4 linked regions of the Yarrowia lipolytica genome follow. The protein of the gene in region 4 interacts with the protein of the main gene of each other region in a biochemical or structural test. Links are inferred from orthologs where the notes say so. Each region holds a gene or a part of one and is shown on either strand. Other genes may lie near its edges.

Region 1 (7,821 bases), on a different chromosome or scaffold from region 4:
TCAATTGAGACCGAGCCTAACCCCAGTCTCATCCCCCTCTTTATCCCCGTTCACCAGGAAGACTCCCCCCCCGACACTACCACCGACACTCACAACATGGGACTTGGAACCAAAATCAGAGACATGGTCAACAACGTTGGCCCCGTGGCCGCTGCCGACCTCAGCAAGCCCAACCAGGCTCCCAATGACCGAACCATCTTCCAGTCGCGAAACAACCATGGCCCCAACATTGGCTCCATGTTCCTTCTCGAGAAGTGGCTGACCCCTGGCATGTTCCCCGACTCCGCCAAGGGAGACGCTGAGCTCGACGCTGTGACCGCTCTCGTTGCCGAACAGGGTGCCGGCGGCGCCCAGAAGAAGTTTGAGGACCACTGGAACACCTGGATCACCGACGACGACTTCTCGTACCTGCAGTCTGTGGGAGCCAACGCCATCCGAGTGCCCATGGGCTACTGGACCATCAACGGAGGCGCCTTCACCCAGGGCACCCCCTTCCAGCAGTACCAGTCCGTCTACCAGAACGCCTGGTCCATTTTCAAGACCAACATTCTCGACAAGGCCCGAGCCGCCAACATTGCTGTTCTGATTGATCTGCATGCCGTTCCCGGCGGCGCCAACGGAGACGCTCACTCTGGAACCTCTTCCGGTAAGGTCGAGTTCTGGGACTCTCGAAGCGACCAGAAGATTGCTATTGACGCTCTCCAGTGGGTCGCCAAGGACGTGCTTTCATACGACAACGTTCTCGGTATCGAGGTCGTCAACGAGGCCGTCTACGACGCTTCCACTTCCAAGGAGGGCTCTTACTACCTGCGAGCTCTCGAGGCCATCCGACAGGTGAACCCTGACGTTCCCGTCTACATCTCCGATGGCTGGGCTCCTACCGAATGGAACGAGTGGGTCCAGGAGCAGAACCAGAAGCTTTCTGCCGGTCAGAACACTGGTTTTGTTGTCGACTCGCACGTCTACAAGGCCTTCTCCGAGCAGGACAAGGGCAACTCTCCCCAGCAGAACATTGCCAACGTTCCCGCCTACCTCAATGTTGGAAAGGCCCAGGCTGATTCTATTGTCGGCGAGTTCTCCTGTGTCTTCTCCGAGGAGACCTGGGCTAAGGCCGGCGGTGAGGACCGAGAGCAGCTTGCCATCAAGTACGGCCAGGTTCAAATTGAGTCCTTCAACCAGAATGCCCGAGCCGGATGGTTCTTCTGGACTTACAAGTTCCAGTACGGCGATGGAGGCGATTGGGGCTTCAAACCCATGACCCAGAAGGGCGCCCTCCCGACCTTCTCCAACGGAGGCTCCAACAAGGATCCCAAGGCCGGCATCAAGGAGGCAGCCACCAAGGCTACCGAGGAGCACTCTGCCTACTGGGACCAGCATCAGGGTAACTACGAGCACTGGCGATACGCCGATGGATACGTTTCGGGATGGCAGGACGCTGCCGCCTTCTACGAGTTCCACGGCTCCACCATTGGCCGAATCAACGCCTGGCAGGACGCCCGACGAGCCCAGCACATTGCTGCTAAGGGTAACTCCGGTGCCATCTGGGAGTGGGACCAGGGCTTCGACGCTGGTATTCAGGGTCTGCTCAACTACATGCGATCTTAAGCAGATCGCTAGGGCCACTTCAAAACACTTTACGACTCTACAATCACGACTTTTCACAACCACATTCTTCTCTGACTTTCACGGTCTATCGATTGGTAGATCTCTATTTATTCTTTAGCATTTTCTGAATACATTTATTAGATATAATTACACACAGACAGTAGCTTCAAGTAGCGACCAGTAGCAGTAGCAATAACAGCAGACAGGAGCAACGGAGTAGGAAAAGCCACAATAACCACAACGTGCTGCCATTGGCTTGTGCACCAACGTCAACTGCACTATTATCTCGGATATTACGCACTCTTGGCACAGGACACTACGTAATACGTAGGGTCATTGGCTCTTGAGACGAGAATTCTTTCATCAGTATTCTTATAATTAATTATCAACATAGTGTACACATAGCCTTCTATAGTACACCCAACATTTCTACCAACTCACCTCGTGTATCATGACACTGGGCTGGATCAATCGTTATATCATAAATGTACACTACATACAATCCCTAGACCATGGAAAACAGAGAAAAGTTTCGCACAATACCAGGTCCCATCTCGTCGTAATCCTGCTTGGTGTAGCAGTAGTTCTTGAACTCGGGAGTAGAAGACAGCAGAGATCCTCCATACCATACAGCGTTTCGCTGCTTGGAGTGTGAGATGACCTTCACATCGACTCCCGAAGACTTGACTCCGGTCGCCCGCTGGTTAGCAGCAAGTCGATCGTCAGCAAGAGTTCGAATGTCTCGCTGCAGACGTCGGCCGAAATCCTTGAACATGGTTGATCCTCCAGACAGAACAATGTTCTTGTAGAGACCTCGTCGCACATCAATGGGCGAGGACTGGACCACGGTGTCGACCACCTCGGACAGAGGGGTCAGGAAGTCGGACGAGGCAATTTCGGGATTGAAGAAGATCTCAGGGGCCAAAAATCGCTCGTATCCAACATCCACGGTGGCTCGTCGATGCAGACCCTGGTCGGCCATGTACTTTTGGAATCGGTCAGGGTCGTTGTCGAATCGGTTGAACTCCTTGACAATGTCCGGACACACATAACAGTAGTTCTCCTTGATCTGCTCTGCGGTCTTGAGCGACGTGTCGGGCTCGTTTCGGTCTCGAAGCATGTTCTGAATGAAGTAGGTGATGTCTCGGCCCGCAATGGGGATGGACTTGATGGCCGAGCCGATAACGTAACCCTCGGCGACAGGGATCACGTGGGTGACACCGTCTCCGGAGTCGATGACGGTTCCGGTCAGAGATCGATCAGTCACCTTGTTGGAAGTCCAAGATGCGGCCAGAGCCAGGACAGCCTGTACGGCAATGTAGAGACCGGCACAGTTGAAAGACTCAAACATGATCTCGGCGGTGTTTTCTCGGTTCTCGGGGGGATTGAGAGGAGGCTCAGTTAGCAGGAAATGATGATCTTCGGGCTCGCATCGCAAGTATTTGAAAATCGAGTTCTCCCAGAACCGCTCCATGTGATCCCAGTTTTCAATCTGACCGTGTCGAATGGGATAGTTGACCGAGTAGGCAGGGCCGTTGGCGGCGGCGAGGGCCTCGTCGCCAATGTAAAAGTCGAGGTCTTCGGTACCCTTACGACTGATGTTGCCGCCGGAAGATCCTTTGGCGGTGGCAATCACTGTAGGGAAGACGAAAGAGGGGGCATCGTTACCGGCAAAACCGAGTTTTGTGTAACCGGTACCGCTGTAGTTAGTATATGTTTGGTCGTGGGTGGGCTGGGATGAATGACAGGCTATGGTGTTGATGTTGCCTTTCACACCACACAATCACATATCAATGTGGGGTATCGGGTTTGCGTAGATGATACAAAGAGGACTTGAAACAAATATGACGGGTTATGTTTTCTCTGATGATATGATAACATAATCTTAGTGTAGCCACTGATCGCTTCCGTTGCTGTATGTTTCTGACTGTATCGTTATGTCGTTGTGTCTTCGTCGATGTAGATGTCGATGTATCAATATCGACATGCGGCCTGTGTCCAAAGATCGATTGAAGAACCATAGTTGGTTATGACATTCCACAACAGCCATCATCGTCTGTCAGCACTCTCTTGTTCCTTCTCATTTCTCTCATTCTCATTCTGTTCATCATCACCATCATCCCACAGCATAACCCTCATCACCTCTCCAAAATGTCTCAATGGAGATAAACCACTGAATTACTCACTTGTCTGAAGTTAGTAGAGTCCCCTTGAAAATCCTGCCGTGTCCATCCAGTCACGCGATACTCACCCATGACAACCGCAGGGGTTCCCAGATGCGCCATTGTTGCTCAATTGATTTTTTGTTAGCAGATGATGCTCAAGGGCTGGTGTCGGGATGTATGTGCTGTAACTGACAAGCAGTGTTGCGGCATATAGAGTTACCCGGTAGTGGCCACCTGTAATTTGGGTGTGCGGTGCGAAGTGGGAGGACCGGAGATAATGCGTGTTTAGTGCAGTCTGATATGGTGCAGTGACATGTCCGAAATATCATGTGATTGCTTTCAAGTGAACTAGGGAGGAGTGATAGTTGACATTCAGAAGATCTGTCGTCAATTTATTGCTTTTTTTGTGTACTTCATGGTCTATGATTGACCCATGGTTGCTTCTGGGGTGATCCACCGCTTAATAATCCACGATAGAGACGCAAGATAGAAACGCACAGGTTGAGCACCGGGATGGAAAATAGGTATACGTTGATAGGAAAGTCATCAGGGGGAGCACTGGAATCAGGAAGATGTATTTTTTTCTCTTGAATTGGTTCCTAGTGTGATTGGAACATTGATTGAATCATGGCACCAAGACCACGGGACTTGGTTAGGATTACTTTGGTGTGAAAAAGTTTAGTTGGAATGACACTTATTAAATGTTTATTATTCTTCTAATACCCAAGTGGTCTAATTGGGTGGTGGTCGACGACTGTTGGTCTCAAAAGACACAGTATGACGGATACACCACTTTCAACGGTATGAAAAGTATACACCATACACACAAGTTGGTAGCAATTTGTCAGCTGTGAATATAATAATGGCACACGTCTTTTTGCACTACTGTGTGTACTGTATTCCCTTTGAGAAGATGGAGGTTACTGTTTCTACAGTTAGTTAGGCGGATCATGTATCACTCTGAGAGAGCTCGATAAGTATGACATAAAATGCAGTTTTGTTGGTTTGTCATATCTAACGCATTTATATGCATGGAAAGGACCTTCTATCTCACTTTTCGTACATACTGTATACTGTACTTGTATCCCACCAGCTTCACCCTTTAACGATTGACCCAAGTATTGGCGTATCCCAGTTGGCTTCTTAGTTTAACTCTGAAGGGTCTCTGCCTCATGTATTGAAGGAGAAAGACTGCTCCCGCCATACCTCAAATGTACTTGTAGCTTTTCCATGTCGGCCTTCAGTATACTCTCGTACTTGTACTGCTGTTCATCTTTATAACCATCAAACTTTTCCTATCCACGTGTACCGGCTCTTGTAGGTACAAGTGTGTTTTTCCACGGCTAAAAGACCAATAACACCTATGTGTATCGTCTTTCACAACAGTCAGTTCACTGTCTCAGTTTCACGAACCATTTTTTTATTTTTTTTTGGTTCTCTCGCTCTTGTAATTTGCATGCAACACATTCACACGGCTATAAATAGGAACTACTTGTAGTGGAGACAACTGAAAACACTCGAGAGGAGACGACGATATAGAAGACCGCTAAAGTCATTGATACAGGAGCTACCAGGAATTTATTTCGCCAAACTGACTCTGACATACTGAAAAATTCACCTATCATGTTTGTTAGTCTCAATATTCATTCTCCGACCACGACTAGTGTGGCGTATATACTAAAACACTTGTTACGTGTGACACCAAACATACGCCTAATTACCAGATGGTGTACAGCGAAGAACACTAAATACGAGGGTTGGAGAGCCATAAAAACAACGGAAGACCCAGGAAAGTCTTCTATATATATATGTCTGGAAAATACCTCTCAGATTTTTACGGCTCCAAACGTCACCCAACAGCCATAACATAAGTACAAGTACTCGTATTGTACGACTCGTACAGATATGCGTTTCATGTTTCAGATCCACGCGTAGCCACACAGACACAACTTTGGGAGCGCTAAGGTTTTTATGAAGCAGTGCCCACTTGGATCGACAAGGAGGGTTCGATGTGGAGATAGAATGACAGAGGGGGACCGTTTGGGGAAATTCTGGGTTATTGTAATCAATTTCAACCCTTTGTAACAGTAGAACTCGCTGTAAAATTGGCACATTTCCACTTGTATCACTTTTACACGCGCTCCCCCTTTTTCTTACCTAGGGGCTCTGGACTATGTGAACACAGGGAAATTATCTGCCGAGTTTAACCTTGGGTAGTAGGTGGGTATGCACTATGGTGCACAGGTGGGTGAGATGTTGAGACCAACCACTTGGAGCCTCATCGCTGGGGCTGTTTGAGGACAGAGGACAAACCGAACCACCCGGAGCATAATTTTTGCATACAACAACCCCTTCGACTGTCCATCTTCCAACACCGACTCAGACACAAGTCGACATCGACTCTGCATCAGCATTACATCATCGGACTGACAACGGACAACGAGAGAGTGACTATTTGTAAGACTGCTCTTGGCGATACAAACAACTTCACAAGAGGACAATACAGACAAGATAGACGGCTCTCGAAAGATATTCAGTACGACGGCGTACATCTTTTCACGCAACATATCATTTCCTCTTGCACACCACCTAAACGAGTTGAATCAGTAAGTCATCTCACTCCTATCTCATCACCATAACTGCATACAACCCATTCTCATGTTCCCATTCTTCTGCTTTGAAAACCGGGAGAAATGGGCACGCCAAGTCGGCCAGTCGTCGTTCGACCTGGTGGACATGACCCAGTTCCACAGCACTTCCTTCCGAATCATCATCTCGTACATCTTCATGTATGTCCAGATCATCATCACTCTGGCAGTTTATGCCTCAGATATTTACACAGCCATCATGTTGTTGGCGTTCGACCGCTGGGCCTCTTCCATCACCCCCTACGTGCCCTTCCACATCTCCCGATGGCTGTTTGGAGGCTGCATTCTCTTCTCATTTGTGCTTCTCATCTACGACTACATCCAGGCTTACCGTGTGTGGAAACGGTATAACATCTGTCTCACATACACAAACCCCATCTGTCGAACAATCTACTCCATCAAAGGTTTCAACTACTTTTGTTTGTTTGCTAAGATCACCAAGTCTAAGGAGTTCACCGACTACGTTGCCCTGTTTGTCTTCTTCACTTTCAAGGGCTGGGCGAACCTCCTGTTAGCTGAGGGACCGAGACAGGTTCTAAATGCTCTCACTCTGTATTCAGTGCTCAAAATTGACGACGACTTTGTGGGGGCTGTTACAGCTCTGGCTGAGAAGTCACATATTGAGGCTGTCGTTGTATCCTTCATGGCATTCTCGCTGCTCATCTGGGTCATCTCCATGTTCATGTTCATTCTGGCAATGCTCTGTTCATGCTCTGTGTGGACCCAAGTAAAACGACACAGGTGTCACTCGCTGGAAGAGTACTGCTGTGTCCGAATAGACAAACGAGTGGCACACCTAGTTGCGAAGTACCACAAACGTGGCATGCAGAACCTGGCTCTGGAGAACTCGAGAATGTCCAAACAACCCACACTGCCCACCATCGAGTTCCTGGGTACCGAAGAAGAAAATATTGGTTACGGCCACTCCAATGCTCACCTGGAAGCTTATGGTGGCTCTAAAACCAACTTGTTGGCAGCCGACCAGGTCGCTGAAGAGTTTTACAGTAATAAGGAGTACTCTCTGAGTGATCTACAGTCGTATGACTCTCGAAACACTCTCGCTGAGCCCTCAGACCCGCTTTCCAAGTCTGAATTTAGCGACATCACGAGCATCAAACGAAGTGACACTGAGCAATCAAACTTGACAGTCTCTGGATTCTCCAATGGTGTTCATAAAGTTCCCAGAAAGCCCACTCCAGTGAGACAGGCCTCAGGATCTCTTTACCAAAACGACAGCAGCTCTACAAGCAGGCTTTATATCAGCGATAACAGCTCGAGCTTGTACCAGAATCCCAACATTAGCACCTCGGGAGGTTCCATCAGCACATTCCTGGAGCCCGAGACTCAATCGTTCAGTTACAGTCCTCCCAGATATGATCCTTCCGAGTACAGAGGGGGTAGAC
Region 2 (7,656 bases), on a different chromosome or scaffold from region 4:
ACTCACCCATACGGAGCAGAATCAGACCCTTAACAAACCGAGAAGGTCGGTCAGTGTTGAGGAACCGTGTGAGCTTGGCTGCTCGATCAGCAGGTAGTCGAGCCAGCACCTCGAAAAACCTGGTCTCCGAAAAGTTGTCCAGAGTGCCGTATCGCTCGCCCTGTTGAAATGCACACTCTCGGGCAATTGTGAATGTTCTAAAGTGGTTCATGAACCGCACAAACACGCGAACGACTCTGTTCTTGTCCAGACCGGTTTCATCTCCGTCTCGGTTGTAAATGAGCAAAAGAGAGACCAAAGCATCAAGACACATAACATAGGCTGTATCAATGGAGCCTCTAGACGTATCCATTACGGCAGCCAGGTCGTCAAAGGTATCGAGAAGGTTGTATACGCCGTTGAACGAGTCAAACAGCTTCTTGTACGCCAGTTTGGGCACCTCCTTGATGAGCACGTTCATCATGTCGGCCATTCGGTTGCCCTGAGAGTAGTGGGGCAGAGCCAGGATGTCCTCCTCCATGAACGATACAATATTTCGTCGAGCTCGGTTTGTCAGCTGTTGAGTGAACCGATCAATAGTGAACATGAGCTTGGACAAGTTGGAGCCATCAATGTTTCTCTCATCGTACAGCTTTTCTAGTTCAGTGGAAGGTCGGATGGTAGACACACCGGTTCCAGTTAGAATATAGATCTGGGCACCAGAAAGACTGCTTCCGATGCATGCACTAGCCTGTCTGCTGAGCTCCTGGCAGATACCTTCAAACTTGCTCCAAGCCTCAACCTGGTCCTTGGCGTAGCCAGTGTAGTCGGGACCGCTGTGGTTAGTGTAGAGTCTGAGCTGTGACGAGATGGCTTCACTGATGGTGTTTCCTCCTCCTCCATGTCGAGAGAAGATGGAAAGAGCAGCCTTGAGAAGGGGCACGCTGTAAAGAGAGACGGCACGCTCGTAGTCGTGGACTGTGAGTGGTGGGAGCATTCGAAGAGGTGTTCCACACTCAGACCACTGGATGTCTCCATTTCTGTTTACTGTAGCCTTCTTGACAACGTGGGACACACCAGACATCCACACGGTGGAGACCTCGAACTGACCCTCGTTTTGACGGAACGCCATGTCCTTTAGCGACCATAGTCCAATGTCTGGGATCTTGGACGAGAAGACCTGGACGAAGTTTTGATCCCAGAAGTAGATGGTTTCTCCACAAAAGGTGATGAAGAACTCGCCCGACGCACACACTCGAGTGACAGGCTCAGTGTCGAGTTTGCTCTTGTCGCTGTCAAACTTGATTTCTGTGCCGGTGAGAGTATTCAGATCCCACTTTTTGAGAGTCTGGTTGACAGACACGGTCAACAGGTGGTTCTCAAAGTTTGTCATAGAGATAATAGCGTGGATGCTGAGATGCGGCATGGACGCAATCTTGTCCTTGCTGAAGAACCGGTCCTTGAGGCTCGTGAGATACGAGGGGTCGGAAAATAACGATGTCAGAAACAGGCCGTTCTTCTCTTGTCGTTCCAATTTCATGAGTCCTCCGTCGCATAAAGATAGCACAAGTTCGTTGGACTGGCCCTTGAGCGACTTGAGAAGAAGCGGCTTTCGGCTTCGAATGCCGTAGTCCTCCTGCTGCTGAAAGAACCGTGAGGTGTCGTAATGCTCGGTGTTGTCCTCATTGAACAGAGCAAATGGCAGCTTCACGCTGTACAGCAGAAAGCTGTTTGAAATGGAATCAATGTAAAGAACCCCATCCTTTTCAGTCACACACGTGCAATGGTTCTGTAGTCCCTCGGGAAAATAGATACGCACACTCTTGCGATCGTGATTCACTCCAGTCACCTCCATGATGTGCGACTCGTCGAAGAAGCGCACAGAAAACTCGCCATTGGTCGAGCTCTGGAACATCTGCCCTTCCTTGGACACGTAGCGTCGCAGAAACACCTCCTCGGCATCGTCAGATTCCAGTTTTCGCTTTCTTTCGTCCACCACCTTTTTCGTGATCAATTTCGAGCCATCAATCTCCACGTTGGGAAACAAGTATTCCACTTGTTGATGGGTGCCGCCGACGGGCTCCTCTCGAAACGTTTTCGCCACCATGTCGTTTGGTAGTTGTGCGGATGGAAGAGATTTCGAAGCACGTTGTTTGATACTCCAATATTTTGACTACTTGTATTTTTGTTTGCATGCATACTCCGAACTTAACTTGTCGAAAACATGGCGACAGGCACCGCAAGATACAGCATGTACATCCTTCTACTTGTAGCTCGGTGAAGATGAATATGTAAATACTAAATATGGATATATAGATAGGAGGGATGTATATACTCATCATTGAGCAGTTATTAAGTCATTACCTGCTATATCGCCGCATATCCCAGGTTACCACCCAGAGTTGTCATCATCTTAACCCTGCTTTCCCTAAACTGTAGGTGCTGAGATATCAGCCTCAACTGAACACAACTGAATGCGTCTGCTTGAATCAGCCTCTGAAAGACGACTGCGCATTTAAAAACAATAGAACTACTGCACGTCGCACCTCAGAAGGTAACACTCTCTTCGTGGTCACTAAGCATACTGCCCAAGTGTTGTTGTCCCAAAGTATGCCACACCCACACACACCTCTGGGCACAGCTGACTTCCAGGATATTATTACTTCTGTTCATACCATCTCCGTTCATGAAGTGTTACAAAACAGTTACTTATACGAGTAATAGGAGCTCATGCAATAAAACACGACTACACCCTTCAATGAATGGAGTACACAGCTATGACACTGGGGTTACACTTCTCAAACTACACTCACCTTGACTTCGATTCATACAATCGTTCTTTAAATTACATACAGCAGAAAACGAGCAAAGGCTTGCACAACAGCAATCACCACACTTAGTAACACTTTCGGTGGACAATGGTGGGTCCGGCCTCGTCGTACTCCTGCTTGGAGATCCACATCTGCTGGAAAGTACCAAGAGAAGCAAGAATGGAACCACCAATCCAGACGGAGTACTTTCGCTCGAGGGGAGCGGTGATCTTGACCTTGATGGAGGTGGGGGCAAGAGCGGAGATCTCCTTGTGCATTCGCTCGGCAATACCGGGGTACATGGTGGTACCTCCGGACATGACAATGTTTCCGTAGAGATCCTTTCGGACATCAACATCACACTTCATGATAGAGTTGAAAGTAGTCTCGTGGATACCAGCAGCCTCAAGACCCAGCATGGAGGGGTGGAAGAGGGCCTCGGGAGCTCGGAATCGCTCGTTACCGATGGTGATGACTCGGCCATCGGGAAGCTCGTAGGACTTCTCGAGAGAAGAGGACTGGGAGGCAGTCTGGAGCTCCTGCTCAAAGTCGAGAGCAACGTAACAGAGCTTCTCCTTGATGTCTCGGACGATTTCTCGCTCGGCGGAGTTGGTGAAAGAGTAACCTCGCTCGGAGAGAATCTTCATGAGGTAGTCGGTAAGATCTCGGCCAGCCATATCGAGTCGCATGATGGCGTGGGGGAGAGAGAAACCAGAGTAGATGGGCACAACGTGGGTGACACCATCACCAGAGTCAAGAACGATACCGGTGACTCGACCAGAGGCGTACAGGGAGAGGACGGCCTGGATAGAGACGTAGAAAGCGGGAGCGTTGAAAGTCTCGAAGAAGATCTGGGTCATCTTCTCTCGGTTGGACTTGGGGTTGATGGGGGCCTCGGTGAGCAGGACGGGGTGCTCCTCAGGAGCAACTCGGAGCTCGTTGTAGAAGGTGTGGTGCCAGATCTTCTCCATGTCATCCCAGTTGGTAACAATACCGTGCTCGATGGGGTATCGGAGGGTCAGGATACCTCGCTTGGACTGGGCCTCATCACCAACATAGGAGTCCTTCTGGCCCATGCCGACCATGACACCCTGATGTCGGGGTCGACCGACGATGGAGGGGAAAACAGCTCGGGGAGCGTCATCACCGGCGAAACCGGCCTTGCACATACCGGATCCGTTATCGATAACGAGGGCAACAGTTTCGTCTAGGTTAGTATGGTGTGGTTATTTGATGGATTGATTGATTGCTGATGGATTGCGCTTTTCCGGGGGCTGGTTGGGTCATGCGCGGCAGCATGCGACATTATCAGTGTGGTGACACGTCATCGCAAAGCGCGAAGGTGCCCAACGGCAAGACGGACGCTCTGGGCTCGCAAGCGCTCTCGCAGCTCCATCCGTTCGATGATGGATTGATTCGCTTGCTGGCCCGTGGCTTTGGTCGCCATGTTGGTGGTGATGACTTGTCGCTGGGGAGAAAGCGCCATTTGTGGTTTTGTGTCCAATCCAGGGACCGACTCGCCATCAATCCAGACAATCGATGATGGCAAAGCCCGCTGTGCCATCGATGGCATTGGTAGTACTCACCTTCCATTTTTAATTTGTGTGGTTGTTGGTAGCAAAGAGATTTGTCGATGAAATACCGATGGAGGAGAGGAGAAAAGTAGGAGTTGGCAAACACAAAATTGGGGTGCGCTGGCTCGTCTGGGTTAGGGTTAGTTATGTCGCACTGTCCAGCACACCACACAGCACTCACGGTTGGGAAGTAACGGAGACAAGGCCACATCTCAAAGGTAAAAAAGCACTGCCGAGGAATAGGGGAAGGTGGCTGGTGGAGGGGGTATTAGGACTGGTAAATGAGCCGCTTAACCACTGGTATTTGGTATTCTAGAGGAATTGAAATCGATCCGAAAGTTACAGAGCTCTAGCCCGTCTGGATTGCCCTCTAACAGCACCGTCTTCTCCTGTCTTTGCCAAGCACACTCCCTTCCAATATACTGTTATGTACGAAACTGTGTGTGTGTGTGTGTGTGTGTGTGTGTATTGGCATATACGATTTGACTGACAAAAAAAAGCCTACCTCTATCTCCCCCAAGCTTTTTGGGGTCCTCTCGGTGCTAACCACTGTACCGGAGATTATGTCAATGTTGCGGTATATTTTGAAAGTGGTGGGTTGGTGTGCGGTGAGGGAGAGAGTGGGAGGGGTGAAAGGCGTGGATGGGGTAATTATAGCCTCGGTAATATCTCCGATATCCGACTCTCATCTGCCCTCCTCTAATGGCACCTCCTGAATAATATCGGACCCCGGTAGGCGTATTTTTGCTTACTCGCTGCTTGGTGCGAATCTAAAAATACCGCACTGTGGTTGACCCCTAATTTTTAGTGCAGAGCCATATATGCGACCTAGTGCGGCTTAGCATCCATGTGAGCAGGCGGTGCAGGAGAGATTGACAGCGGGGAGCTATTTGTGGGACAGTGAGTGGCTCCGACTACAAGTATTCTTTGTGCCTCTTTTGCCAGCACAAGTAAATGCCAGCACATTGTGGAATATTGCCGGTTCGCTTCCCCCCCATCTACCAAACAAGGTTGGTCAATGTTTGGGATCGGGTAAAACCCTGGCCCTTGACATGTGATTCGCGCGTTATGGAAAGCAAGCGACGGAGATAAGTTGAGAGAGAACGCTGCGCAAACATCTGGAAAGAGCTCATTCCCCGCCTCTCTGGGCACAGCTCTGTCTGAATAGCCCAAACTCAAGGTTATCGCGGGTGGCTTGTGTCTGTTTACCTCGTGGACGTCCCAAAGTGCTCGTCCCAAAATGCCGCCCCTTTACACCTTATTCGTATCTCGGCGATGCTTAACTCCGGTGAAATTGCCTGCCGCAACCCACATAATCTCTCAGAGCTATATTTGGTCCATGTTCCGGTACGAGTACGAGCAGAAACGGGGTTGTCAGGCCGTGCCCCGCAGTGTACAGCAACCCACATGCAGTACGTGGCGATATCAACTGCACTCTGCACATACTCGTACATTGTATCGTGCCGTAGCGCAACTATCTATCAAGTACACGTACAGTAGCACCAAACCCCGTCTTGTACTTTCCAACGGTTGGACCAAAAAGCGCCCAGTGCCCTCCACTTGTCCATGTCAGACACATTCCGAAACGTCGATATGGTAAGAAGAAGTTTCCTGTATGGTCGCATCCTATACAGTATGTACGTGCTTCCCTCACCGTAAACATCGTGAGTAAACACTTGGAGCCTGTGCACTGTGATAACGATATAAGCACTCAATTGGGCGAAGATATGGAAATGCGCGTGTCAATTGCCACCTAATTACCGGTATATACAAGTATTACAGGGCAATCTCTTTCTATATCTGGGTAAAGCGCTCCTCATGTCTTGCATAACAGCTCTTAACCGGCAGACATACAAGTACCAGTAAATAAACGCCCGCACCTCACATACTCTACAGCTGTACTTTTACGCCATACATACCGTACAATTCATCATACCATTACCTTGAGGGGCACTCATTACCTCCCAGTGACCACATCTCCACTACTTTTTTTTTATCTGCTATAATTATATCTGTTATACATGCTACTATCTAACCCCTTAATGCACAACATCGTCCCAGGTTCGACCCTTGACGCCACTGAGCTCCTCCTCAGACATGACGGCGCCGGTGGTGAAATAGCCAGCCGCAATCTTGGCATCGATCTCGACTCGAGAGTCCGGAGGAATCATCTCGTCGGGAATGGGCACACGCTCGTGGATGGGGATACCCTGCTCCACAATGGCGTCGTGCTTCATGTTGGACATGGACAGCATTCGGTCAATCTTCTGGATACCCAGGAAATGCAAAATGTCGGGCATCAGTGCCTGGAATCGCATATCCTTAACTCCGGCAATGTTCTCCGTTCGCTTAAAGTACGTGGCAGCTGAGTCGCCTCCTCGCTTTCGCGCATTATACACTAGGTACTTCGTCACCTCGCCCAGAGCTCGTCCCTCCTTTCGGAAGTAGATGACCACTCCCGAGCCACCCTTCTGGGCCTCCTTGACTGCTTCGGAAATACCAAAGGTCAAGTAGGGTCGGCAAGTGCAGATATCGGAGCCAAACACGTCGGATCCGTTACACTCATCATGGACTCGGAGAGCCAACTTCTTGGAGGGGTCCGAAACTCGGTCTGGGTCGCCGAAAATGTACACCGTCAGGCCTCCGATGGGAGGTAGGAAGACCTTGATGTCTGGTCGGGTAACCAGCTCGGGGTACATTCCTCCAGTGTCCTCGAACAGGGCACGTCGAAGCTCCCCCTCCGTGATTCCGAATCGCTCGGCGACTCCGGGCAGATACCACACGGGCTCCACGGCCACCTTGGTGACCGCGAGATCTCCGCTCTTATTGAGCACAATTTCGCCATCAACCTCCATGGTTCCGTCTCTGACCTCGTCTCTGATTTCGGCTAGTTGCATCTGCGCACGAGTAACAGCGATGGTGGGCTTGACTACAACTCCTTCCGCGATCGTCTCATGAAAGAGCCAGGGAGCTAGATGACCATAAGGGTCCATAGCCACAATCTTCTTGGGGTCGGACCATTGGGGGTGGGGTCCAAAGGTGTGCAGAGGATAGGCGTTGGTATAGTCTGCTCTGTGTGTAACGGGCAGGTCGTTGGTGGCAACAGCCAGTGCGTGGTAGATACCATACGATCCGTGGTGGGCTCCGATGGCATTTCGCTGCTTGAACGACGATTGATCACGGGCCACAACAATGGGACCTCGCACCTTGGGGTCCTCTGCGCCCCATCTTAGAGGAATGGGCTTGACGCCACTCTGTCCGGGGTAGGTGGTGAGAATGACTCGTCCCTCGTA
Region 3 (8,348 bases), on a different chromosome or scaffold from region 4:
ATGAGGAGGACGTGCGGCAACGAAAGAAGCCCCGACGGGAGCGAAGAAACCAGTTCCTGGATGTCGAGGCCGAGGTGGATGAAGATGAAGAGGATCTTGAGGAGGACGAAGATGGACTCATTGGAGAAGACGGATTCGTTGCTGAGCCTGATGCCGACGAGCCCGATGCCTCGGACGACCGATTCCATCGAGAGATGGACCGGCGACGAGAAGCCATCGCCGAAGAGGATGCCGAACGACTGGCCGATGAGTACCGAGAAAAGTACGGTCGATCGACAGCCAACAAGTACCGAGGAGACAGTGGAGTGATCCCCCAGCATCTGCTGCTTCCCTCTGTCAATGAGCCCTCCATTTGGGGTATTCGATGCAAGCCCGGCAAGGAAAAGGAGCTGGTTCGACAATGTCTTCGAAAGAAACTGTCTCTACAAAAGTCCAGAAACCCGCTGGAAATCATGTCCGTGTTTCAAAGAGATACCTTCACCGGATACATCTACATGGAGGCCCGTAACCAGCAGGCTGTGACTGTGGCTCTTAAGGGTCTGGTTAACGTCTATCCTCAGAACATGATTCTGGTGCCCATCAAGGAGTACGTTGATCTTCTGCGAGCCACCAAGTCTGCCGAGACTGAGCTCGTTCCCGGCGCATACGTGCGTCTCAAGCGAGGAAAGTATGGCGGCGATCTCGCCATTGTCGAGAATTTGTCTGAAAATGGTCTTGAGGTTCGTCTCAAGCTGGTGCCCCGTCTCGACTATGGACGAAATGCAGAGGCTGGAATTGACGGTAAACGAAAGCGAGTGGCCCGAATCCCTCCCCCACGACTCTTTTCTGAGCAGGAGGCTTCTCAGTATGACCCTCGAAATCTGCAGAAGCGTGGCCCCAATGCGTACGTTTACGCGGGAGACGAGTACATCGGAGGCTTCCTGTACAAAGATTTCAAAATCACCCTGGTGAACGCCGAGAACGTTGCGCCCAAGCTTGAGGAGCTGACCCGTTTCAACTCTGAGGAGACTGACGGTATCGATCTGGCCTCTCTTGCCCAGAGCCTTCGAAAGTCTGCCGCGGCTGTCCAGTTTCAGGGTGGAGATGTCGTCGAAGTGTCTGAAGGTGAGCAGACCGGTGTTCAAGGTACTGTCATTTCTACACACGGCGATATCGTCACCGTGGAGGCCACGACGGCTCCTCTGGTTGGAAAGCGCATCGATCTGCCTAGCCGATCTCTACGAAAGAAGTTTGCCATTGGTGATCACGTGCGAGTCATTTCCGGTAACTTCCTCGACGACACTGGTCTGATTGTGGGTCTAGAGGACGACTCCGTGACTCTACTGTCCGATCTCAACAAGAAGGAAGTCACAGTGTTCGCCAAGGATCTCAAGAAGGTGTCTGATATTGGAGGTTCACATCAGGTCGGTGACTACGAGCTCCACGACTTTGTGCAGCTTGACGCTCTTCATGTCGGTTGCATTGTAAAGGTGGAGAGAGACAGTCTGAAGGTGCTCGACCAAGAAGGTACTGTTCGATCAGTCACTCCTTCTTCTATCACCATGAAGCTCACTCGAAACATGGAAGGTCTGGCCACCGACTCCAACGGTTCTGAGATCAAAATTGGCGATACTGTTCGAGAGACCGTCGGTGAGGGTCGACAAGGTGCCGTTCTTCACATCTACAAGAACACTCTGTTCCTCAGCTCCCGATCTCTCGGCGTCTTTGTCGCCAAGGCCTTCAAGGTTAATACCATTGTTGCTAAAGGAGCTCGAACACAGTCGAACTCTCAAGCAACTGGTCCCGATCTCACCAAGATGAACCCTGCCGTCTACAATGCCCGACCTGGCCAGATGGCTCCTCCCGTCATGCCCAAGCAGGGAGGTTTCGACCGTCTCAAGGGCAAGCATGTTGCTATCGGGCCTGGTTCTCAACACAAGGGATGCAAGGGTATTGTCAAGGAAACCACAGACGATATTGCTCGAGTCGAGCTTCACGCTCCCTGCAAGGTTGTCAACGTTCTGAAACACCAGCTGCGAATCTACGACGATTACAAGAAGACGTACCTGTCATACATGGAGTTTGCTACTCCTAGAGGTATGCGATCGGGTGGTGGTCGTCCTGGAGGGCCCCCTGGTCCTGGCGGACCTGGGTCTGGTGGACAGACCCCGTCGTGGGGTGGTGGTGGAAAGACCCCGTCGTGGGGAGCAGGTGGAAAGACCCCGTCGTGGGGAAGCAAAACCCCGTCGTGGGGTGGGGCAAAGACATCGTCTTGGGGTTCGCGAACACCTGCTGCCAATGCAGGAGGTGCACAGACACCCGCATGGGGAGCAATGGGAAACAAAACACCATCTTGGGGCGCATCAGAGTCTCGCACCCCTGCATGGGGCGGGGCAAAAACTCCAGCTTGGGGAGCAGCTGGTGCTGGGTCGAAAACCCCGGCCTTTGGAGTCGCACGTACGCCTTCGTGGAAGTCGTCGTCTGCAGGAACATACGGCGGCTCTTCTTCGCGAAACAAGGGCTGGGAAGATCTCGGAAGCGGCAACTCGGCTCCCACTCCAGGCTACGCTGCTGCCACTCCTGGTGAGATGATGGGTGCCCCTACTCCAGGTGCTGCTCACCATCCTTGGGAAGATTCTGCTCCGACACCTGCTGCCTATAACGACGCGCGAACTCCGGGTGTCTATGATCCTCGAGGTTCTGGACCTGCTCAGGCCGAAACCCCTGCAGCCTGGTCCACGGATGATGCTCCTCGATATGATGATTCTCCCACTCCTTAGTGGGACGTGTGTGTATAATAAATGATTGTGTATTATTCTGCAATATAGATATGAGCGGCTTCCGCGTAGAGGCAATTGTGTGGCTGTTGTACATTACATACTATACTGGTGTAAGTGGTAGATTGAACTTCTGGGCGGTGATCTTCGATTACCAGCGTACTGTACTTGTATGATTAATACCATCAGCGCGTATATAATTACGATCGCACTGTAGGTGAACAAAAAGTAGCAATATCATTGAACAAACAACTGACTTATTCGTTATGCTTTATACCACTCGTTAGCATCATAGCTGAAAAGTTCGAGTCGTTGGTCTCATCAGCTACTCCACGTAACTTGTGGGGAAAGCACCTCTTTGTCCGTTCAACTCTCCCTCCGTCCATCCATCTCTATCGGGCTCCACCACCACAATCTGGTCACCGGCCTTGATCGACAGCTCGGTATCGTCCTGGGCATTGTAATCATACAGTGCGGTGACGTAATCGACCTTTTTGGCACCCTGTTTGGGCGCGACAGGAGGACCCTTTCGTTTGATTGAGAACGCAGACTTCAAGCTTCCACCTCCACCTCCAGAGGATGGTGTGGTGGCACTCTTGGGAGGGTTCATGTCGACATATGAAGCAGGCACAAGTCCGTCAGTGCCATCGCTCTTCCGCACTCGAATCCATCCAGAGCCATCATCGGTCTCAAGAACAGTCACATGCTCGTTTTCGGAAATGAACACCTCGTCGCTTCCCTGAGGTTCATATCTATACAACACCAATGCAGAACTCTCCTTGTTCCATGGAATGGGGTCTCCTTCTCTGTATGTTAGAGTGTCCAGAATCAACTTTCCCGTGCCGCCAAATCCTGAGGTGGTGGTGTTGCTTCGTTTCACCGGTGTCGGTTCCGGAATGTTTCGATCAATCTTCTTTTTGCCAAACAAGAAGTTGTGTCGTTTCTTGATCACAACGGGTTGGTATGAGTCGAGATCCTTCTCACCAGTGTTGTGTTTGATGGTCTCAGTTTCGACTTCTGCAATGGTACGCTTGGTGTCGTCCACCGTGAGACTTCTCAGAGCGTTGATAGACTGACTAAGCAGCTCAAAGTGGTTGTTGGAAGCTGAATCAGAGTCTGCCTCGGCCAGCTTCGTTGCCTTTCGCTTCTCCAAGTCCTGGAAGCCGGCCTCCTTGGACGCAATAGTGTCTTCGAACTGGTGGCTGAGTCGCTGCGAGTCGCCCAGTACAGTATGCAGGTATCTGAGAGCCACATCATCGAGAACCATGTTCTCATCGTCGTGCCAAATAGGGCACGGCTCGTAAATGAAGTCGATGGGTTCCTCCCATCCGTTAGGGGCAATATTGTGCTTGGTGAACATGGCAGAGTCAAGAACGGGATGGTTTTGTGCAACCATTTCAATGGTAGCGTTCATATGCTCGGTGCATCGATTGTTGCATGCAATTTCGAGAGAAGCAGCCTTGCTCAAGAGTCCGTTGAGCAGCTTGACTCGTAGTTCGTTGAGTTCCTGGTATCTATCCAGCAGTTCAGGAACATCCTGGTGATAGTACTTGTCCTTGAGACGGTTGGCGACGTTGATCTTTACAAGATACATATTTTTGGCGTCGTTCATGTCGGCGTTCTTCGACTCAAGCTTCCGTTCCAACTTCTCCTTAGATTGACCAATGAGACCGCCCAGCGCTCCTCCCTTTTGGCCCTTCATCCGCTGGTTCTCGACAGCCTGGCAGGCGTCGTAGTAGCCGTTTTTGGTCTTCTTGAGCAGCGAGTAGTATCCATCTCGGTCCTCAATCAGCTTCTCAGAGAACGTTTGCAGGTTCTTTCGGACGTTTTCACTTTTCAGGGACAGGGCATGGACCTGGTCGGCGATTTGGAGGTTGAGCTCGGACGCCAGACGGTTCTTCTCCTTGGCCAATGTTTCGGTCTGGGTCAAAATTTCTCCCCAAGTGACAAGAGATGCGGATTCAAGAGACCCAGGAGTGACTTCAGGATGTTCTCCGACTGATAGAACGGAAGACACTCGAGCTTTCTTCTCAAAGTACTTAGAACTGAGCGAAGAGAGCTTCTGGGAGTACTCTTTTTCAATGGAGGCTCGTTCTCGGTAGAAGGACTGAACATCCGAGAGGAAGGCGATTCCGTGTTGAGACTGTGTTAGTAAGAACTTTGAGTGAAGTTGCAGAGGATAATGGAGATAATTGGCGCCTAGCCACGTCTCCTCGTGACTCCAGAGAAACCCGTGGATTGGCCCAAATAAGACTCTCTTGGATGCGAAGATGGAGGATATACCAGACAGGGCTTACTATACCTTCATCCGTTGCTACGGAGCCGTTTATAACAGAAAATATCACCGCCAGCTCAAGAATCACACCAATACCGACACTTTCTTATCTCCCCCTTACTCCATACCACGAGTCTTAGTCACATCATGTGGACAGCTCCCTCACTTCCCACACTCACCCAATTGTCCACCTTCTCCCAGCCATCGAGCAGCTCGGTGCCCATGCTAACTTGAACGTCCGCCATGTTGATGTTGTATTCTGGTTCCTGTAGCTAGTGGTTCACGCAGGTTGTTCACGACATGTGGCAGGATAATGCGGGTTGCCGTGGAGACGCAACACGAAACGCTAAAGGGTTACCCGGATTAATATCCGTAGAGATCTGGCAGGTGGATGGAGCAGGAGAGCCGTGACAAGGATGGTTGAGAAGCCCGCATCCAGCTGGATTTATTTAATGTAGTGACGGTTCAATATCACGTGTCCGACACGAAGCATCTCCCTCGTTTTGAAATTAACTTGTGTGGGGAATGTTGACTGGTAATGTAATTTTTCGGAATAAAGCCAGCGTGTAGACATCGATTAGCGGCTGGCGTTTCGATGATGGCAGTGCACGTCACGGGTACAGCCACTTTCGGGGTTGTGTCCCTACCAGAGATGGCGGTGGAGATTTGAAACGATTAGTGACGTTTGCTTAGTCACATTTTCTTAGTCACACTTGCTTAGTCACGTTTGCTTAGTCACGTTTGCTTAGTCACACTTGCTTAGTCACGTTTGCTTAGTCACGTTTGCTTTTTCATATTTGCTTTCTATGTTTGCTCTTTTCATCGCTGGGGGAATGCAAGGACGATGTTGAGTATTCGTATCGAAAAGTAAATACTATCTAAGTAGCCTTGTGAATGTATAGTTGCGTAATTGTTAAAGTGGTAATTAGGTGATTATAGAAAAGTCCAAGTACGATACTGATCAACCTTGCCACACTCAAAGACGGGTAACCCTTAGACCGGGTAATTGCATTGATACGCGTAGAAGGACCGTCGATCGATAAGAGTGGTGGAGGACTGAACTCGGTTTTTGACCGGTCGAGCCTCGGCCTCGTCCTTGAGTGCCTGCAGAGGTTTGAGGAAGGGGAGAAACATTGAATTCGACCATTGATGAAGCTGAAACTGGATACAAGTCTCTTTTTTTTGGTTCTATTCACTCACTGCAATTCCCTGTGCGTTAGAGTAAATTGGTCGTGCTTCCTATATGTTGACATTCTATAAGCGACTTCTGGACAGTGGTGTAAAATCAGCAATAAGAAGACCATGGAAGTAGTGTAAGTTTCGGAACAATTATCAGCTTGCAACAATCTCAATTGGGTGCTGGAGTCCGTCCCTTGTCATCAGAATATTCACCCTCCAGAGAAATTTCTAGAGCTTCGGCATGTGCTTATTAATACAAACTCTAAAATGCAACGCTTAACTGAAAGTATATTTAGCTGATTTCGATTGCTTGTAATTAATGGCTGCAAACAGGCCCAAAATGAAGGTAATTAAATGTAGTGGACAGATTTTGTGGATTTGTATAAACTATTCATTTGACTTTGGCCCTCAATTCGTCACTGGAGAGTGTTACCCACCCCGGAATCGAACCAACACCCCCCTTATTTCCCAAACCCTAACTTTAAAACTACCCTAGATACATACACACAACACTTGTTTTTTTTGTACATCTACCACAACCATCATGTCTGGTGAGTATCACCCCTAATACGTCTCGTTCCAAGCGCTAACACAGTCGATTTCAACACCCTCGCCAAGCAGTTCTGCGAGTTCTACTACCAGACCTTCGATACCGACCGGTCTCAGCTCGGTAACCTCTACCGAGATCACTCTATGCTCACCTTCACCGGTACTCAGCACCAGGGTGCCCAGGCTATCGTTGAGAAACTTGTTGGCCTTCCCTTTGGCCAGGTCCGACACAAGATTTCTGATATTGACGCCCAGCCCGCTTCTGCTCAGGGAGGTGATGTCATTGTGCTTGTCACCGGAGAGCTGTGCGTTGATGGCGACAACCCGCTCCCTTACGCCCAGGTTTTCCACCTGATCCCTGATGGATCTTCGTACTATGTCTTCAACGACATTTTCCGACTCAACGCTTAGAGTAATGCATGCGATTGATATGAACAGAAACGTGAACGGCGTGAAACGACGTGGAACGGCGTGAAACCGTGCGCTTGAAGGAAGCAACCGACACGACAGTTCAAACAGTGTCGGTGTCATGGAACTTGTCTGCTAAGGTAAGCCAGGCTCTGTCACTAAATACACTGTGGTCATGCTGCAAGTCTGTAGTCACCTCTGTAGCGCTCGTATCCCCGATGATAGTACTTCTTTCGCCTCTCGAGCAACACGTAACACCATGTCGCAAGCAGTCTCAATTGGTATACTACTTCTGTAACTACACGTAGATTCTGTAGTTTTGACGGTTTACTCTTACTGGTGCTCACATTTATAGACGTTCCCAATCCGCCACTGAATGATTCTGACAGTCTTGTATCCAAGCTTGAGTTGGCTGGTATCGCAGTATAGCTCATGATACTACATGGTTTAATGGCATGTTGTCTTGGTACGATACTGTATCATACTGTGCTTGAGTCTCGAAAGGCGCATCGGGGGGAAGGGGTTGCCAGTCGAGGAGATCCAAGCGAACGGCTAGATCGCGGATAAAAGAGTGGTCGTCAATCGTGAGAATTGCTGGCATGCTGTGGGCATATGTTTAAGTCTATGAGCTCTACTAGATTCCCCGTGGCTACCGTGAAGAGCTTACAACACAAGTAAATGTGCAGTCTTGCCCCCATTCCACCCATTTCTCTTATGCTATCTTCAATGCTCTTCTCGAGAACCACTCGCCAGTACTTCCATACCAGCAATGGACAAAAGTAGGTCAGTGTTCTCAGAGACTCCTTCACATGTCAATCATGTAACCAATGTCCGGCGTGAGTGCTGGTACTCGTGACCAATAGATGCCTGTCTAGTGTGTGCTATGGTAAGCGACTGGCTAGCCCACATAGAACCCCACAAAACATCTGTCCAAGATATTCTCATAGTTGACCCACGCGTGAGTCTTCATGAACAAGCTCGTACCGTCTCTGCCCGCACAAACCATCAACTTTGGCACTCCTCCAGGATGAAAGTTCAGATAAGGCGTGATATTGTACACTTTGCCATTCAGTACCATCCATGCATCCTCCTTGCTGCGGTGTTCCTTTAGCATATCCTTGGTCACACGTACTGGTCCCATGGTATCGACTCCTCTGAGGTTCTTTCCCGAGTTCCGCAGC
Region 4 (7,857 bases):
CACCAAATGTGTACGAGTATTCACTACTTGTACTCGTATCGTACATACCACTCCTCTACAAGCACCTACGTCATAGCCACACCAGTATGGTATCGTACATACACCCTCATTCCAACCCTGTAAACTGCAAGTACTTGAATTTGTACTGTACTTGTACCATATGCTACTTTGTTTATTCATCTTTTTCGTTTTCTGTGCTCCTGCGCAAGCCGTATCATACCATACTCCCACATCTCGTCTAATTTTCCGACTTCCAAGATCCAGAGCCCGACCCGACACCCCGACCCCGACCCCGACCCCGACCCCAAATTGGACCCAGACTCAGAACCCCCATTTCCCCCGCTGGTGCGGCGGTAGGGATGATGACGTTCAGGCTCACGCGACCGAAAAATGCGCCTCATGATAGGCTCCATCAGTCGGCTACGCAGTCCTTCTCCAGTACCGCTAGACGAAGAGCCAGAGCCAGAGCCGGAGGCACTCGCAGACCCGCTGTCGGTGCTACTGCCCGCGTTGCTGTCGCGACTGCCGCCGGAGTCCCCACCGTCGGTCCCGATTGCCTGCAACGTCTCCTGCCCCACAGGCGAAGAAGCAGAGCCTGCAGCTCCAACATTCCCAGTCCCAGAGCTTGAAACTCTGTTAGCCTCTTGCCGTGGACCCTCACCTGCATCTCCATGTAGCCGAAAAAAGTCAGACGGACGATGATAGACGTAGATGCCAGGAACTGGCTGGTGCACGTGAGCATGTGTGTGGGTGTGGTTGTGAGTGTGGGGTTCAGCGCCAGCACCTTCTCCCGTGCCAGAGGCCCCAGTTCTCCCTGCAGCTCCAGTCTCACCCCCAACTCCTTCTGTAGCCGCTCTTCGGGCGTTAGTTTGAAACTCCCGAATCACATCTACAACGGGAGGCAGATTCTGTGTGGGCCCAGTGCCAGTCTCTACACGGTGAGCGTGGAACAACTGCGGCCAGCCTTCAACTCCACGGCTCAGAAAGTGAGGCACGTTCCCTTGAGGCCCGACAACTGGAGGTCGGGCGTCAATGGTACCTACACCAGCTGTCCCAGTAGCTCTAGCTGCTGCAGGAACTCCACGGAACATATCGCTGGCGTTGATCTCGCCCTGCGCGGTCTGGGGGCCCTGGGGATTGTTGCTATTGTTGTGACGGCGTCGGTCTGCCTCAATCTCCTGGAAAACACGAGGTAGTACGTTGAAGAGGACCTCGAAGAAGCCGCCAGACCGAGACTCGTCGGGCTGACCGGTAGCCTGCAGGTATTCGGACTCGGACTCAACGGTCACTCGGCACAGAGGGCACGAGTTGTTTGACCGCAACCACTCACAGATACATAGATGGCCGAAAATGTGACCACAGGGCATCTTGGTTGCCACGTGACTCTCAGGGAAGTTAGCCTCCGACTCAGTCTCTGTCTCTGTGTTTGACTCTGCGTTTGCCCCTGTCTCAGCCCCTGTCTCAGACGTGGATCCCGTAGAAGAGGTACCAGCAGTAGCTGGCGGCGTCCGCTCTGTCGTTCCACCCGTAGTTTGACGCTCAAACTGCCGTTCAACAGTCCGTTCCATCACCCGCTGTTGTACCCGATGCAAAGCAACCTCCTCATGTGCCTCCCGTAGACCCTCGGGGATCCGGGGAATCACAAACGGCTGACGTGGACCTGCCTCCGGGTCCACACGTATGATAGGACACAGCTGTTGAGGGTTGGCTTCTCTGAAGGCAGCAGCATCTTCAGGGGTGTCGACAATGTACCGAATCTGATTGGTAGCCTCGTCCAGAGCCTGGCGCAAGTTTTCCTCGACTCCAGGATCGTTTCTAGCCCGTATAATCTCGTCAGCCTCGGCCTGAATGGCTCTTTCACTGGGAGAAGCTAGTTCAATGAGCACTGGACCGTGTACTGAAGTCGCAGGATTAACTTGGTTGAAATCGAACGACGGATCCGAAGACACAGATGCACTGGATGTGTTGGCCTCCGACGCCAGCCCTCGACTCTCTTGCTGTCGGTCCTCCTCCTGCTTTCTCTCCTGCTCGGCCAACTTGGCGATAATAGCGTCCCAGCCCAGCGGCTTCTCCTCGAATGCATCGTAGCAGATCGGACAGTTCTGCTCCACCACCTCGCTCAGCTCCAGCGTTTCGAGGTTGCGAATCACCCGTCGTGATGCCTTGGGCTTGTGTCGCCCTCCTCCTAGAACACCACCGGCAAACATGTGTGTAGGGATAGTGAATGTAGCCGTAGTAGTGCCATCAGGGCGGTGGTCGATTCCTCCGGGACTGAATGTGATGTTGGGGGCATCACCAGCTGTGTCTGGAGGCGCATCTGTTCCAGCATCATCCTCTCCAGCAGCCCGCCGTTGCAGCAGCCGCTGGATCAATGGGTTGCTCAACCAGCCTCCGGCGGCTTGGTTGAGATGCACGTGACCAGCCTCGTCTGGCTCAGCGGTGGAGTCAGTGGTTGCTGCTGCCGTTTCTCTGGCAGCCTCGGCTCCACCATCACTGACCCGTGTACGCATGGGGGATCGTTCCCGGGTGCGATCTCCGGCTCTTCGTTGCGATTGGGACCGAGATCGGTATGCTTGTGCGGTTCCTCCGTCAGCAGCACGGCCTCTAGCTTCACGTCCACGGGCTTCCCGGGCCTGTCGCGATGCCTCCGTCGCCAGGTTCCAGATGGTGTTGTCAGCCGTGCCGGGTGGCGGCGCCTGAGTTGTACCTAGTGAATATGTAACCAACATGATAGGCCGATCACGAGGCATGTGTCGATGAGGCGGTTGAGGGGGTGTTTGTGTGCCCGGAGCAGTCGAAGAAGTCTCTGCTGGCGTCGCGCTTGCCGCCTCTGTCGATGCTGGTGCTTCTGTTGTCTCCGTCGCTGCATTTGTGTCTCCTGGCGCTGCGTCTGTGTTCGTACCATCTCCATTCAGAAGCCGGTCCATGTACTCCTGAACCACCTCTCTGTTGTGCTGGACGTCCAGATTTCGACGCAGAGCGCTCCGCAATAGTTGCGCCACCGCGTCCCGGGCCGGATCAGGAGGCCCGTTGTTTTCGCTCATCTTCAGTGTTTGTCTTCTGTACCTTGGTTGGTGGCGTTGTGAGTAAGTGGATATGCGTGCCGTGTGTCGAGTGCTCTTTATATGTCCAGTCAGTCACCTCTGCCGTGTAATGGTGCAAAGTAGTGCTGACTCCTCAAGGCCAATTTTTTTTTCTTCAGACCTTGGAGTAAAGATGTACAAGCGCGGTAGTAGAGCAGGTATAATAACTGTGGAGCTTATAATTAACAATCTTGCTTTCATTAGTTCAATAGCAGTGACGTCAGACCGAAAGCATTCGGAAAATGAGAAGACAGGTCAGCCGCACGCTTTGTGATATGGAAATCAGGCCCAAATTTTTCGTCCATATTCCCCATGTCAAAATCACCATTCACCCATGTAATCCCGCTACTTGCACGTGCTGTACTTCTGCCACCCTCCACTCCATTATACAACCGACTCATAGAACAGTATGGAATGTTGGGTTTGGGATATCCCAGATTATGGTCCCGTGGTGTGGTCACGTGATGAAAGCTCAAGGTGGATGGGCCGATATGCAATGTCACACGTGACCCGGCTTATATCCCCCCCCCCCCCCCCCCCACCTCCACCCGGTTGTAGCCTGTACATGTTGTATTGATGCACTCTGAAAATCGCCGTTGGGAACAGCTTAACTCCGAGTCCATGGAGATACCACCACTGTGAGCCATTTAGGTGGCATCTGAATGTGTACATGAGAGAGGGGGCGGATAACGTAGCATATAAAACAGATTGTAGTTGAGGTTGAAAAAAACAGAAGATGGATTCACACTCACCGCAGCTTCAGTACCACTCTTATACGTTCAACTAAGAAATTACCGCACTTTTCCATGGTTGCTTACTAACACACGGGTCCTCCACGCATGCACTCCCACAGCACACTCTATCTCCATCAGCAACATCCACACACACCACCATGGGTCTTCTCAACTCGGCGGACAAGGAGAAAATCAAGCGAGTGGTGCCGAAAAACACCAACAAGGTGATTGACTGCACCATCGCACGTCTCTACATTGCCTACCCGGACCCTGATAACTGGCAGTACACCGGGCTGTCTGGAGCGCTAGCTCTGGTGGACGATCTTGTGGGCCACACTCTGTTTCTGAAGCTCATTGACATCCACGGGTCGCGAGGCGTGCTCTGGGACCAGGAGCTGTATGTTGGCGTCAACTACTTCCAGGACAGAACGTTTTTTCACTCGGTGGAGCTGGAGGACTGTTTTGCAGGCTTTCTGTTTGAAGACGAGTCCGAGGCCGCTCACCTGTTCAAGCGGATCCAAAACAGAGAAAAGTACGCCAGCAAGGATACGGTCAAAAACAAGAACGCCATTGCGCTGAAAAAGGCCGCTCCAGCAGAAAAGGCTGCCGTGGGACCCAGAGGAGAACCCCGTACTCGACTGGGATACTCGGGACCCGTCTACTACGACGACGAGCCGCCGGAAGAATGGCGAGCGCTGTACAGAGAGTTGGAGGAGCAGGGAATCACTCCGGAGATGATTGCCGATAACACCGAGTTCATCAAGGAACACATTCGACAGACGGGAGGTCCTCTGGTGGGTCTGGAACCTCCAATCCCTCGAAACAGAGGCCGGGGACGAAGCACGAGTAATGCCACTTCTTCTTCGGCTGATACCAATGCCCGAAAACCCCCACCGCCTCCTCCCCCAGCTGCTGCTGCTGAATCAACCCAAAACAACGACAGAAGAGCAGCTCCTCCTCCCCCGCCGGCCTCGGCTCCCCCTAGCTACTCTAGCACTCCAGAGCCCGACTTGCCGGCCACCCCTGCTGCTCCCTCCGACCCACCAGCTGCTGTAGCACCCCCCAGACGGTTCAATGTGCCGCCTCCCCCATCTTTCATGGGCAAAAACGCAGGTGCTCCGCCTCCTGCGGCAACTCCAGCCTCTCCAACAGCAGCAGCAGCCCCACCAGCGCTTCCAGGACGGTCGCTGCCGCCGTCGCTGCCCTCTCGTGGTTCGCCAGCGCCCCCTGCACTACCAGGACGATCGGTGCCTCCTCCTCCAGAACTTCCTGGACGAGCTGTGCCTGCCCCTCCCCCCTCTCTGCCGGCACGAGGAGGAACCCCGGCAGCAGGAGGACCCCCTCCCCCTCCTCCACCCAGAGACGGAGCCACTCCTCTAATCGAAACCTCCTTCCTCCTCCCTCCAGATCGGCCAATTCCCCCCCCCTGCTGCTTGCCCCAAACTGCATACACACCCCCTCCCCCTCCCTGCAGCAGCTCTTCTCCAGCGGCAGACTCAGAGCCTCATACACTCTTCCTCCTCCTCCTCCGTCCCCCGGCCTCAGTCGAGACCTGTTCCTGGAGTTCCTGGAGGTGTGTGCCCCTCCTCCTCCCCCCTCCGCCCCCCCGCCCTGAACTTGCTGCAGCTGGTGGACCTCCTCCACCCCCTCCGCCTTCTTCCTGTGGCTGCTCCCTTCTTTTGGAAGTTGCTGCTCCCCTCCTCCCCCCGGTCCTCCCCCAGCCATGTCTTGAGGTCCTCCTCCCCCTCCCCCCCTTCTGGAGACTTTGGAGTCACTCCTGGTCCTCCTCCTCCTCCTACCGGAGACGCTGGTCGAGACGCGCTGCTGTCGTCTATCACAGCTGCTGGTGGAATCGGCTCTCTTAAGAAGGTGGACAAGTCGCAACTTGATAGACCTTCGGTCATGCTGCAGGAGGCTCGTGGAGAGAGCCCTACCATTCCTTCGGCTGCCCCGGGAGCTCCTGGCGGTGGCAACTCGCTGGCAGACGCCCTGGCCTCGGCTCTTAATAAACGAAAGGGCCAGGTCAGTAAGTCTGACGACGAGTCCGACGGTGATGACTGGTAGTATAATGACTATGTAATTAACAGATGAAACGATGGGGCTACGAGCAAAGCGAGTATGTTGTCCATAGACATGGTGTATAATTGGTAGACGCGGTCACACCGTCTTCTGCTATCGTGGATCCAATGCTTCATAGCATCTATTGAACATCTACGATTGATAGTTAATAGTCTGATTCAGTTACCGTTTTGAAGCACGTCTTTTGTGTCACGTGACGGTGGTCGAGTCACGTGCTTTATTACAGTGAACACTACAAGTATTAATTTCTTGTTGCTTGTTTATGTTCTCTGACCGTGCAATTTGGATGTCCTTTGTCTTCACTTCAGACAATCCAATAAACAACAGTCACTCGCATTGTGGCTGGCGAATCTCCGGTTATTTCAGCCTCCGGGGATCTCGTATTGATTGCGAATGATAACGTGAGCCTCGTTAACATCTTGGTGATCGTCGTCGTCGTCGTGATTTTCACTCGCTCTACCGAAGATGGCTGCATCAGTTTATCGGCCTTACGTAATGAAGTAATAGTCCAATTGGTGTCTTAGGTGGACCCCTTGTCATTGTGCGACTCGATACTCCTTCATTGACCAGCTCAATGCCTTTTCTCTCGAACCCATCCATTCTTCTCTAAGCCTCTGTTGGCCGGCCTGTCCCTTTGGACACTGCCTCCCACGGCACTGGCCCAATCGGGAATAATGTGTTGTTTAAGACACATAGGCTTGTTCCGGAGTGAGTAGGTTTGTGGGCCGCTGTGGGGGCGGCGGCATCAACAGCCCCGGTCTCCAAAAAGTCCTTCTTTTCTAAAAAAAAAAAAAAAGGATTTCTCGGACTTGGCCAGGTTGAACATAGGCTTGGCAGCGGCGAAGCATAATCCATGCATAGATAGCGAATAACACACGTTCTCAACCCTTGCCCTGGTGTCCTGATTGGGAGTTAAGTAGGTGAGGTGAGAATGAGGAAGATGTGGAATTGTGGGTCATTGAGGGGTTCAATTGGCGTCGATGAGTGTCTGTGGGTGGTTCCTGTTTGTGAATATTAGGATATATCGATCACGTGAAGTAGTGTACCATGGTATCTATACATGCTATATTGCAGAGAGATAGCTTTGCAGTGTTGAATTGACTTTGTCTGTGTCACGTGAAGGTGTTCTGAGCAAGGCCAGGTGACATTATAACCACTCAACTGTTCACTTCTGACCACTACCATCAATGTCAATCTTCACTATCGTTTATTACATGGAGGTCCATGTCTTGACACGACATTCCTTTTATGGCATAACAGGGTTGGGGTTGTAGGTGGTTATCAGTGTGCCCACACATCACATACTGTACATTCGTAGTTGAGAACTATTTAGTTGAAGATAGTTAAGAGATAGTAGAAGACATTATATTCTGCTAATGAAGACGTTCAAGAGATGCATCGAGTACACGAGTAGAATGCAGGTATACAACTCTTCAACAAAAGTGGTGACAAATATACCCCTTTTCTAACAATGTTCATGGACTCTTGACTTGTCCGTGTTTTCTCCTAAGTGAGGCTACATTGTAGTTGAATGTTTAGTACACCGTTTGTTATAAATCCATAACTTTGGATAACAAGTCCACGCGAGAGACGGGCAAGACTGAGCAACACAATGAGCCTGACATCCCCCAACTACACATCACGGTTTTCTCTCTCCATCCATTGTCCCAGGTAACCACCTATATCTACGGATACATCCGTGCTGACCCACGTCGTCACGTGCAGACAACTCTAAAACATTTTTCTGCAGCCAGCCATAACCATCATCAACAAATATGTCCGGACGACAGGGTGGAAAAGCTAAGCGTGAGTATTGTGGCGGAAAAAGGCCGCGAATCTGACGGATATGCGATGACTAATCGATTCACCAGCCGATCCCACGTGATCAACCCCCCACAACCCCCACTAACCCAGCTCTTAAGGCTCCCAAGAAGAAGCAGACTGATTTGGACGAGGAGGAT

The links.
Region 1: the proteins of YALI1_B28744g (region 4) and YALI1_E40540g form a complex in vitro, tested with the Saccharomyces cerevisiae proteins (4 studies listed by BioGRID, with this or other methods). The link is inferred for Yarrowia lipolytica from reciprocal best matches to the Saccharomyces cerevisiae genes LAS17 and ARP3.
Region 2: the proteins of YALI1_B28744g (region 4) and YALI1_D10600g form a complex in vitro, tested with the Saccharomyces cerevisiae proteins (4 studies listed by BioGRID, with this or other methods). The link is inferred for Yarrowia lipolytica from reciprocal best matches to the Saccharomyces cerevisiae genes LAS17 and ACT1.
Region 3: the proteins of YALI1_B28744g (region 4) and YALI1_C16255g form a complex in vitro, tested with the Saccharomyces cerevisiae proteins (2 studies listed by BioGRID, with this or other methods). The link is inferred for Yarrowia lipolytica from reciprocal best matches to the Saccharomyces cerevisiae genes LAS17 and BZZ1.

The regions. Positions count from the first base shown.
Region 1 is NC_090774.1:4,050,673-4,058,493, forward strand, and holds YALI1_E40540g (uncharacterized protein), read right to left. Parts: upstream 3,891-7,821; coding exon 3,857-3,890; intron 3,310-3,856; coding exon 2,111-3,309; downstream 1-2,110. Other genes in the region: YALI1_E40502g (uncharacterized protein), read left to right, coding at 1-1,605; YALI1_E40571g (uncharacterized protein), read left to right, coding at 6,429-7,821. UniProt on the Saccharomyces cerevisiae protein: Functions as ATP-binding component of the Arp2/3 complex which is involved in regulation of actin polymerization and together with an activating nucleation-promoting factor (NPF) mediates the formation of branched actin networks.
Region 2 is NC_090773.1:1,056,764-1,064,419, reverse strand, and holds YALI1_D10600g (actin), read right to left. Parts: upstream 4,383-7,656; coding exon 4,376-4,382; intron 3,997-4,375; coding exon 2,876-3,996; downstream 1-2,875. Other genes in the region: YALI1_D10623g (uncharacterized protein), read right to left, coding at 1-2,086; YALI1_D10565g (uncharacterized protein), read right to left, coding at 6,403-7,656. UniProt on the Saccharomyces cerevisiae protein: Actins are highly conserved proteins that are involved in various types of cell motility and are ubiquitously expressed in all eukaryotic cells.
Region 3 is NC_090772.1:1,620,607-1,628,954, forward strand, and holds YALI1_C16255g (uncharacterized protein), read right to left. Parts: upstream 5,277-8,348; coding exon 5,211-5,276; intron 4,900-5,210; coding exon 3,082-4,899; downstream 1-3,081. Other genes in the region: YALI1_C16204g (uncharacterized protein), read left to right, coding at 1-2,759; YALI1_C16275g (uncharacterized protein), read left to right, coding at 6,904-7,170; YALI1_C16283g (uncharacterized protein), read left to right, coding at 7,767-7,771, 7,828-8,023; YALI1_C16294g (uncharacterized protein), read right to left, coding at 8,066-8,348. UniProt on the Saccharomyces cerevisiae protein: Plays a role in endocytosis and trafficking to the vacuole. Functions with type I myosins to restore polarity of the actin cytoskeleton after NaCl stress.
Region 4 is NC_090771.1:2,870,482-2,878,338, forward strand, and holds YALI1_B28744g (uncharacterized protein), read left to right. Parts: upstream 1-3,975; coding exon 3,976-5,682; downstream 5,683-7,857. Other genes in the region: YALI1_B28735g (uncharacterized protein), read right to left, coding at 177-3,044; YALI1_B28766g (uncharacterized protein), read left to right, coding at 6,159-6,171, 6,224-6,420; YALI1_B28781g (uncharacterized protein), read left to right, coding at 7,672-7,702, 7,811-7,857.